Linked DNA regions of Saccharomyces cerevisiae S288C. The protein of the gene in region 1 purifies or fractionates together with the protein of each later gene. This does not show direct contact. Each region holds a gene or a part of one and is shown in the gene's direction. Other genes may lie near its edges.

What was found.
Region 2: the proteins of NSA2 (region 1) and RLP24 purify together in Saccharomyces cerevisiae (affinity purification with mass spectrometry; 5 studies listed by BioGRID, with this or other methods). This does not show direct contact.
Region 3: the proteins of NSA2 (region 1) and TIF6 purify together in Saccharomyces cerevisiae (affinity purification with mass spectrometry; 6 studies listed by BioGRID, with this or other methods). This does not show direct contact.

Annotation. Positions count from the first base shown.
Region 1 is NC_001137.3:412,851-416,296, reverse strand, and holds NSA2 (rRNA-processing protein NSA2), read left to right. Parts: upstream 1-2,117; coding exon 2,118-2,903; downstream 2,904-3,446. Other genes in the region: VFA1 (Vfa1p), read right to left, coding at 1-438; small subunit rRNA maturation protein LCP5, read right to left, coding at 743-1,816. UniProt on the Saccharomyces cerevisiae protein: Involved in the biogenesis of the 60S ribosomal subunit. May play a part in the quality control of pre-60S particles. Under normal, rapid growth conditions, high levels of NSA2 would allow the progression of pre-60S particles through the ITS2 processing.
Region 2 is NC_001144.5:164,537-167,796, forward strand, and holds RLP24 (ATPase-activating ribosome biosynthesis protein), read left to right. Parts: upstream 1-2,000; coding exon 2,001-2,600; downstream 2,601-3,260. Other genes in the region: Smc5-Smc6 complex subunit NSE1, read left to right, coding at 1-866; PAM18 (Pam18p), read right to left, coding at 1,041-1,547; TEN1 (Ten1p), read right to left, coding at 2,784-3,260. UniProt on the Saccharomyces cerevisiae protein: Involved in the biogenesis of the 60S ribosomal subunit. Ensures the docking of NOG1 to pre-60S ribosomal particles. Activates and recruits ATPase AFG2 to cytoplasmic pre-60S ribosomal particles.
Region 3 is NC_001148.4:591,672-594,811, reverse strand, and holds TIF6 (translation initiation factor 6), read left to right. Parts: upstream 1-1,742; coding exon 1,743-2,480; downstream 2,481-3,140. Other genes in the region: RLF2 (Rlf2p), read right to left, coding at 1-336; guanine nucleotide exchange factor DSS4, read left to right, coding at 895-1,326. UniProt on the Saccharomyces cerevisiae protein: Binds to the 60S ribosomal subunit and prevents its association with the 40S ribosomal subunit to form the 80S initiation complex in the cytoplasm. Is also involved in ribosome biogenesis.

The DNA of each region.
Region 1 (3,446 bases):
CAGTTCTGTAACTTTGTCAAGTATTTTGCTGTACTGTTTCTTTGTTTCTGACAAGATTTCTGCATCGTTCTTAGCCTGTGGAGATGTATCAGTAGAGTCGGTTGTAGTTGGATCAGGGTCTTTAGAGTTATTTGTCTCCTTTTCTTTCTTGGAGAATATTTTAGTAACCCAACCATCCCAGGACCCTAATTGGGTTTGAGCTGATGTCAGACTATCCATTTTCCCCTTTACTAGTTTTAATTGAGCCACGGCTTCATTATACTCTGTACTATAGAGGGGAATGACAAATTGTGGATTATCTTGTAAATGTATTTCGCATGTATATAGCCAATCTGGACCAGATGCGTTGTAAAGGACGGTAGTGGATGGTTTGCTACAGATCGCACATGGTTGCATGTCCTTTAGAGCGACCTTTCTGGCAACGTACTCATTTATCATTGTATATATACTATATCGTGGCACTTCTGGTGTGCCTTATTCCCACTATATTGTTAATTTATGGCGATTTAGTCATGTTCTGCTTAGGACTATAAAAAAAAAAAAGAAAAAAAAAGGTAGAGTTTATTCTGGAGGGACTAATAATCATAAAGGCAATGGTGCCTAAACCTCTCACACGTTAATGTCGTGAAAGCCAAAATTCTTGTTTTTAATAGCTTATATACCAGTGCCCTTCATTTATATTTAACTTTTAAATATTAAGTCTATAAACGCTTTAGGATATAAGAAAATAAACTTTTTGTATCTACAGTCTCCTTTGAGCTCTATCCCAGGCAGAACGAGTCTTCTTGGCCCCACGTCTCGAAGTGCTATCTTCCAGCTTCCTCTTTGAGCTGAATATACCAAAATCTTCACCACCGATAACGTTCATCCTTGCATTTCTTTCTCGTTGCTTTTGCTTCCTTTTTTCAGCTTTATTTGTAATATTCAATCTGGTAAAATTATCTTCTTCGAATGAAGTGACTCTACGTTCCTTCTCTGTGTCTCTCAAAGATTTGATACCGCCTCTTCCATGGTTCACAATGTCAGCACCAATAGATGCACTCCAGTCCGGTTGGTCCGATGACTCTCTAATATATTCTTCCATGGCTTGCATACGCGATTTGTTACTACGATCTTTGTGTTCTCTGGCATCGAATCTATCTTCAAAATGCGTTTGTTGCGGTGGTAGAACAGCCGTAATCTTTGGTGGTTTATACACGCCAGTCTCATTGTCATCGTTTTCTTCCCCGTTTTCTTGCTTAGCCGTTTCCTCCACCCTGTATGCTGATGATTTTTTATTTGTGTTGATAATTCCAGAGGTATTTGGCCTGTATGCTATTTCATCCTCACTAGACTCATCATCTTCGCTATCGTCGTTGCCGCTATGATTCACTAAGGTAGATTTTTCCAGTGCACGCTTCTCAGCGTCTTTATATTCCTTTTCCATTTTCACATATGCTCTAGTCAGCTTGTCCAATTGGTAAGCCAACTTTTTTTCTAGTGGTTTAACACCACGCTCTAATACCACACGGTGTTGAATAGAGCGTTCACGTGCATCCATAGCAGAAGGATCTTTGCACTCGTCGTCTAGCCTATTGCCTATAAGCATCAATAGAGAATTTATGTACCCTAGCATGCTCCCATTTTTTAAGGATAGCAGCGATACTTTCTCAGCAGGCTTCTTAGCGTCGTAAAATAGATGCTCATGTAGTTGGTTACTTTCAGGAATCTCATCGGTCGCAGAATTACTATAAATCCCAGACAACCTCTCCAAGGATTCTGATGTCGCAGTGAGCGAGCCGTTGATATCTTTTAATAATGCATTAAGTTCAGACATTCTTGGATTTGTGTGTTAGTTGACAATTTTAATTTCTTCATCTCTTTTGACACTTTAGAATGGTATAGCTCATCGGTTTCTTTTCTTCAACCTTGCAGGAAAGGCGTAAAAAATTTTATGTCGTCGGCAACGGTTCTAGTAACAATCCGATGAAAAATTTTCCGGACAGCGATGAGATGCACTTTTAAGACAATTGAATGGATTAGGTATCAGTTAGAGAAGAACTTGGTTTTCGTATCTGGCGTTTTTATCTTTAGTCAGTAGTCAGTCTCGTATCAATACTGATATATACAACGAAACAATGCCTCAAAACGATTATATCGAGCGTCACATCAAACAGCATGGTAAAAGATTAGATCACGAAGAAAGGAAACGTAAGAGAGAGGCAAGAGAGTCTCATAAGATTTCTGAACGGGCCCAGAAGTTGACTGGTTGGAAGGGTAAGCAATTTGCTAAGAAGAGATATGCTGAAAAGGTATCAATGAGAAAGAAGATTAAGGCACATGAACAATCTAAGGTCAAGGGTTCATCCAAACCATTGGATACCGATGGTGATGCTTTGCCGACATATCTATTGGACAGAGAACAAAATAACACAGCCAAAGCTATTTCTTCATCGATCAAACAAAAGAGGTTGGAAAAAGCTGATAAGTTTTCAGTTCCGTTACCAAAGGTTCGTGGTATAAGTGAAGAAGAAATGTTCAAAGTTATTAAAACAGGTAAATCTAGATCCAAGTCATGGAAGAGAATGATAACGAAACACACTTTTGTGGGTGAAGGTTTCACTAGAAGACCAGTTAAAATGGAAAGAATCATCAGACCAAGTGCGTTGAGACAGAAAAAGGCAAACGTCACTCATCCGGAATTAGGTGTAACTGTCTTCTTGCCAATTTTGGCAGTTAAGAAGAATCCACAATCTCCAATGTACACTCAGTTAGGTGTTTTGACTAAAGGTACCATTATTGAAGTTAACGTTTCGGAATTGGGGATGGTTACTGCTGGTGGTAAAGTTGTCTGGGGTAAGTATGCTCAGGTCACAAACGAACCAGACAGAGACGGCTGTGTCAATGCGGTTTTGCTTGTATGAGCAAAAAAGTGCTCCGTTTTTTTTTTTTTTATCTCGATGGTTCAAATTAGGTTTACTTTTAATTTAATAATACGATATACGTCTACAAGCACAAAAGAACAGGTATATAAAAAATGTACGCTCTGTCCTGTTCGGGTTTCTCTTTTTACTTCTCGTCATTCTCTGTACAATATAACAAATCAAGAATTTATTATCCGGTTCTTTTTTCCTCACGACAAATAACCGATACTCTCCGTGTGTAGGTGACTGGCAAGAGAGGGATTGCCTAGTACGCTCGTTTCAAGTATGTACCTCACGAGAGCAATTTCAACTGTAGTATAATACCCAGGTCACTATTCAGTTTTAAAATGCAAGAAAATTAAAAAACAAAAAACGTATGGTTGTAAAAAGCAGGGCACATTATATGTATATAAATAAAAAAAAAAATTAATAAAATCTAAAAAGAGGATATAAAAAATAAGAGGCGTAAGGCAATATAAATTATTGGTATCATGCTCCTTTTGAAAAGGAAAACCTCCTCTTATGGCGAACTTGAAAAGAACT
Region 2 (3,260 bases), on another chromosome or scaffold:
CAACGCTTAACACTGAATGGTCGATCCAGCAGTGGGTCGACAAGCTAAATGATTATATAAACGCTATAAACGTAAAACTGAACCTTTTGGGTTACAAGATCATTCGGATCAACCACGGGATTGGTAGAAACGCAGTGACTTTAAAGGCCAAGCAGAATTTTGAGTCCTTCGAAGATAATACAGCAATAAGGGCTCACAATAATGATTATGCAGTTTTGCAATCGATAGTACTTCCGGAGAGTAACAGGTTTTTCGTATATGTTAACTTAGCATCAACAGAAGAGACTAAGTTAGCCACAAGGTTTAACCAAAACGAGATCGAGTTTATGAAATGGGCCATAGAACAATTCATGATCAGTGGAGAGACTATCGTTGAAGGGCCTGCACTGGAAACCTCGATAATTGTGAAGGAAGTCAACCGTATTCTAGTAGCAGCTACAGGAGACTCAAACCTCGCGAAATGGCGTAAGTTCAGTACGTTTACTGTAGGGTCCACCAATCTTTTCCAATTTCAAGAATTAACAGCAACGGACATCGAAGACTTACTACTCCGATTATGCGAACTGAAATGGTTTTACAGGACTCAGGAAGGGAAATTCGGTATTGATCTTCGCTGTATAGCAGAACTAGAAGAGTATCTAACATCCATGTACAATTTGAACACTTGCCAAAATTGCCACAAGCTGGCAATTCAAGGTGTCAGGTGCGGCAACGAATCATGCCGAGAAGAGAATGAGGAAACTGGAGAGAATAGTCTGTCTCAAATTTGGCATGTTGATTGTTTCAAGCATTATATTACCCATGTAAGCAAGAATTGTGATCGTTGCGGTTCATCGCTAATCACAGAGGGCGTATACGTTATTTAAACTAAAATACATAGCTTTCCGTGTTATTTACAAGACTTATCTATACAAACATTTGATTGCCCGAAGTATTTTAATCTCCTAAACGGCATGTGATTGAACACGGTTCGAGGTTTATACCACTTGTATTAGGCATATATGCAATTGCAATAACTCATTTTAGGTTCCCGTTTTACCTTATTTGCTAATACCCCTTTTTTCCAAAAAGTCCTTAGCTTCGTTTATCTTAGTGGCCAAAAATGGAGAACCACCTTTGTCAGGATGATTAGCTAACATAATTTTCCTATGAACCTCTTTCAACTTTTTTTTAGTCAATGTATTTTCTGTCAAATTCAAAATCTGTAGAGCCTCTTTAGAATTCATTTTCGGGTCAAATCCGCCTTTCAAGAAGGCAGTAGTGGATTTTCCACCGTTAAGTCCCTTCGATATTGATTTATATGCACCGGCTGTAAAATATAAAGTTAAAAAGGCCCCAAAACCTGTTATCACAGGATGTTCTCCCATGTAGTTCAAAGCTTGATCAAAATAAAGGTCCATTCCGGTCTTTTGACCCTGCGAACCATTCTGGATACCGACATTAACACCAGCTCCATCAACAGTAACGTTCGCAGAGCCATTAGTTTGACCAGGAATGGGTAGTTGTGGTGCCTCAATAGAATTACCAGTATTACTTTGAGAACTCATGATATTGTGCGGGTGGAAGTGTTTATGCAACCTTATTAAACTGTGCTCGGCCAGTGGAGACGTACAAATTCCACTACTATTCGTACTTTGTCTAGTTCAAGGGTCTCCGTCGAGTGAGTCCTACGTTGATTCAAATGGCTTTCACATTTGGTCCGATTCTCGCTCTTTAAATTTTTTGCCCGCTCGCCTCGAACTCAGCGGAGTGAAAAATTTTCACTCGTCTTTTATTAAATAATGTATTTCTAAACTCATCTCATCTCATCCCACCCTATCTCCAACTTACATCAGTTTCTATCTTGATCCGTGATATACCACTTTTAAGTTCTTCGACTTGTGATTTGAAAGATATTGCTATTCAAGCGTGAGTTGTCCATATTGTTACCACCACCTCCCCGTGATTTACATTCAGAAACTAAAAGGAAAAGGAAGTAGAAGTTTAGTAAGTATAAAAAAATGAGAATTTATCAATGCCATTTTTGCTCATCCCCATGTTATCCAGGTCATGGGATCATGTTTGTGCGTAACGATGCTAAAGAGTTTAGGTTCTGCCGTTCTAAGTGTCACAAGGCATTCAAGCAACGTCGTAACCCAAGAAAACTAAAATGGACCAAAGCTTTCAGAAAGGCTGCCGGAAAAGAATTGGCTGTGGATTCTACCTTGACTTTTGCCCAAAGAAGAAATGTCCCTGTTAGATACAATAGAGAGTTAGTTGCCACAACTTTGAAGGCTATGGCTAGAATCGAAGAAATTAGACAAAAACGTGAAAGAGCCTTCTACAAGAATAGAATGAGAGGTAACAAAGAAAAGGACTTCTTAAGAGATAAGAAATTGGTCGAATCTAACCCAGAATTATTGAGAATCAGAGAAGTTGAAATTGCCAGAAAGTTGGCTAAAGAACAAGAAAGAGCTGAATCAGTATCCGAACAAGAGGAATCTGAAGAAGAAGAGGAGGATATGGAAATCGACAGTGACGAGGAAGAGGAAGAACAATTGGAAAAGCAAAAGATTCTGCTAAAGAACAGAAGAAGAAATACAAAGAAAATTGCTTTTTAGTTAGAACAGAACCGGGCTAATTGCCTCTTTCCTTTCTTTTCTCATACTTATTTCATGGGATAAATAAGAATCACCTGTATACTATTATTTACATTACATAACATTACAATAACTATTTTCAAGGGTCCTCTTACATTCTTATCAAAGGTATTATATAATCTCAGTATATGCCAAACGTCTGACTTAGGAGTTAGAGATGTTCAGAAACTTCTCACCAAGTGGTGATTTGACAAATTCACAGAAATCACGAACGTCATTCCTGGATAGTATCTTAAAATCAATGATTTCAAAAATTGGCGGACTTTGGTGTATTCCATACCATACCCCAATGCGAACATCCAGTACCTGCCCATTTATCAATCTCAAATCATCTTTATGGGCTGAAAATAATCTTTCGCTCATATACAAACGCATCTCCTCTGCGCCATTTGTTGAATTGAGGCAATGAAGATTTCTAACTATCATTTGACAGAAAAAACCTTTAATGAATTCTTCATCCGATTTACAGAACAAGAAATCTACTAATCGAACAACAATCCTGAATCTTTTGGACGGATGAATAATGTTTGGTTCCATTCCGTTTCCACCGTAAACATTGTTATGAATATCGTAATTCGTTGCTATTTTATCCTTCAAACATTTTAAGTCTAGAACTAACTG
Region 3 (3,140 bases), on another chromosome or scaffold:
TCCATTGGGTACTTGTTTGTTGGTGTTTCTATCGTATTTTGTACTTTGTATGGGTGAATTTTTGTAGCATAAAAGCTTGTCTTCAGCATTGGCCTTCTTAGGTGTCGTTTTCATTTCATCTGCACACTCTTTATTGATGCTTTTCATGGTTTCTTGTTTAACAGTTTCTATCATAGGTCCACTGACATCCTCTTTAGGATCATCTAGAGTGATGACATCCTTCTCTTTCGTGAGAAACTTATTACTCTTTACCGTAGTTGTATTCTGGAAAAAAGATAGTATGCCTTTTTTCTTAGTGTCGTCCTGTAGAGGAATTGATTTGAGATGTTGCTCCATTTTCCCTTTTCCTTTCGATTCTCTTCTGTCTTGAGGTTCACTAAAACATATAATTCTCTGTAACAGCAATAACAGAATGTTCTTCTCCTCAACGAATTGGCTGGAAAAATGATGTATTTCAAGAAGTGGAACCAATAAGAATTTTATTTTTTAGTCAGTTCGCAAACCTTTTGGTTTAACGATGTAGATCTTTCTTTTTTTCAGTTGAAGCCTTTCACGCGTCCGAACGCGTGAGCATATATGCAAGCCGTCTGACACTATAGATCGCGCCAGGTAGGGAACCACTTGATCCAGCACGATGAGCCCGACAACTCAAAACTCCCTTCTTCTGTATCAAAATACTTTTCAGCATATCCATATCATTCTTCCTTTCTCTTCGTAAAGGCTGACTGGGCGCCGGGGACCCGCTAGTTTAGTAGTACTGTGAATATCGTCATTGTCGTACTGAACGATTATATATCGATCATTTTAATTAATGAAGTACATATCAAAAACTTGACTGGTATGAGTAGAAAGTTCAATTAAAAGGGCTGGAAAAATGGGGGAATAACAGAGAACATGAGCAAGGCTACGTGTTCCTTTGAGGGCTGTCATAGTGCAGTTATTACCATCAACGATGATAACATAATAAACTTACCAGAGCAGGTGCACAGCGAATTCAAGTTGCTGGAAAACAGAACTATGCGAGATGCTACCCCCAGCGAGAGCAACTTCTTGGTCGTCCCTGATGTTTGGGACTTTGATAATGTTGGTGTATCTAGAGAAATTCCTTCTTCTATATTAGGGGATTTGAGTGATAAGAGTGATTTTGTCTTTGAGTATGGTAATTCCAGCTGGAAGATTAAAAAGTGCTTGAAATATTTGATATGCGCTGATTGTGATAAAGGTCCTATTGGAATAATATGTAAGGTGCAAGATCAGACAAAGAATGAAGAAAGAGTTTTGCATCTACTAAGCTTGCGAAGCCTTCAAATTATGGGAAGGAATTAGTTTGGTAGGCACTAGAACAAAAATAGGTTGCCGCCACCAGAAAAAAAAAAGAGTAACCAACCACCTATTTCACTGGCATGGGCCACCTATAACAAGCTATAGAAGTAGTTCTGGTTTACATTACTAGCATCACTTTATGTAATAATATAGGCATTCTGGACGAAATCCTAATGGATGAGCATTACCCGTTTTTTCCGAGGGCCAAACGAAAATTTTCGGAAAATTTTTATTAATTAAAGATTTAAACCCATATTCCTTTGTGCAGATTTTTTCTTTTACTGTATGTAACGCAATATTCAATATTGCATAATTAAAAGAAGCCTCATCCCTCGTTGGTCTTATAGTATAATTACAAGAAGCAATACGACAGAGTATTTGGAACAAGAGCATAATTCAACTAACTCTAGAAAACAATAATGGCTACCAGGACTCAATTTGAAAACTCCAATGAAATCGGTGTATTCTCCAAATTAACGAATACTTACTGTTTGGTTGCTGTTGGTGGTTCTGAAAACTTTTACTCTGCATTTGAAGCTGAATTAGGAGATGCTATTCCCATCGTTCATACCACTATTGCTGGTACGCGTATCATCGGTAGAATGACCGCGGGTAACCGTAGAGGTCTGCTAGTTCCAACCCAAACTACTGATCAAGAATTACAACATTTAAGAAATAGTTTGCCGGATTCCGTTAAGATTCAAAGGGTAGAGGAAAGACTATCTGCCTTGGGTAACGTCATCTGTTGTAATGATTACGTTGCTTTAGTGCATCCAGATATCGACAGAGAAACTGAAGAATTGATAAGTGATGTACTAGGCGTTGAGGTCTTCCGTCAAACCATATCAGGTAATATCTTAGTTGGGTCATATTGTTCTTTAAGTAATCAAGGTGGGTTAGTGCATCCACAAACAAGTGTCCAAGATCAAGAAGAATTGTCCTCCTTATTACAAGTTCCTTTGGTGGCTGGTACCGTTAACCGTGGTAGTTCAGTTGTCGGTGCCGGTATGGTTGTGAACGATTACTTGGCAGTTACAGGTCTGGATACTACAGCCCCAGAATTGAGTGTTATTGAAAGTATTTTCCGCTTGCAAGATGCCCAACCAGAATCCATTTCAGGTAACCTACGTGATACTTTGATTGAAACCTACTCATAGATGTCAGGTACTCCTGAGGGGATTCCCCTCCTTCCTCAAGTCTGTTTACAGTTGTATGCGAAAGAGTCCCCATGTTGCAATAATCTTCTTACGTATCATTTGTGGTATTTTTTTTGGTATAACAAATATTTTTTCTTAGGTTTCTATGCATTTTAATTTTAGTTGTATGTATATTATGTACTCTTTTATTTTTTTTTTTTTTCTTATACCTATGGGTGACTATTCATTGCAGTTTAAGTAGGCGTCTTAATTGTAACATGTAGTCACTTTGTTCGAAGCATATGTAACGGGTTTCTAAGCAAATTCTTTGCATAATATGGATTTTCCGTCCGCTTCTCCGACTATTCTGACAACTTGCTCAGTTCCAAGTATCTGTTAGACAATATAGAACTTCTCCAAGAAAAATTGCACCGCACGTAGACCATTTGAAGGCTTTTTTGTCTAGCTGCTAGGACATACTATTGTCTCCACCAGAACCCGGAGAGTAGTATCTCTTGGCAAAGATTAATAAAATCGAACAAAGCTAATAGAACACCGGGGGTTGTGCGGTAAGATTTTCACAAGCGGTACAGAAGTGAGCCGTAAAATTATATATATATATATATATATATGGTGTACAACAAGTCAGCCGTCCATTTATGTGCTATCAAGCGAACTACG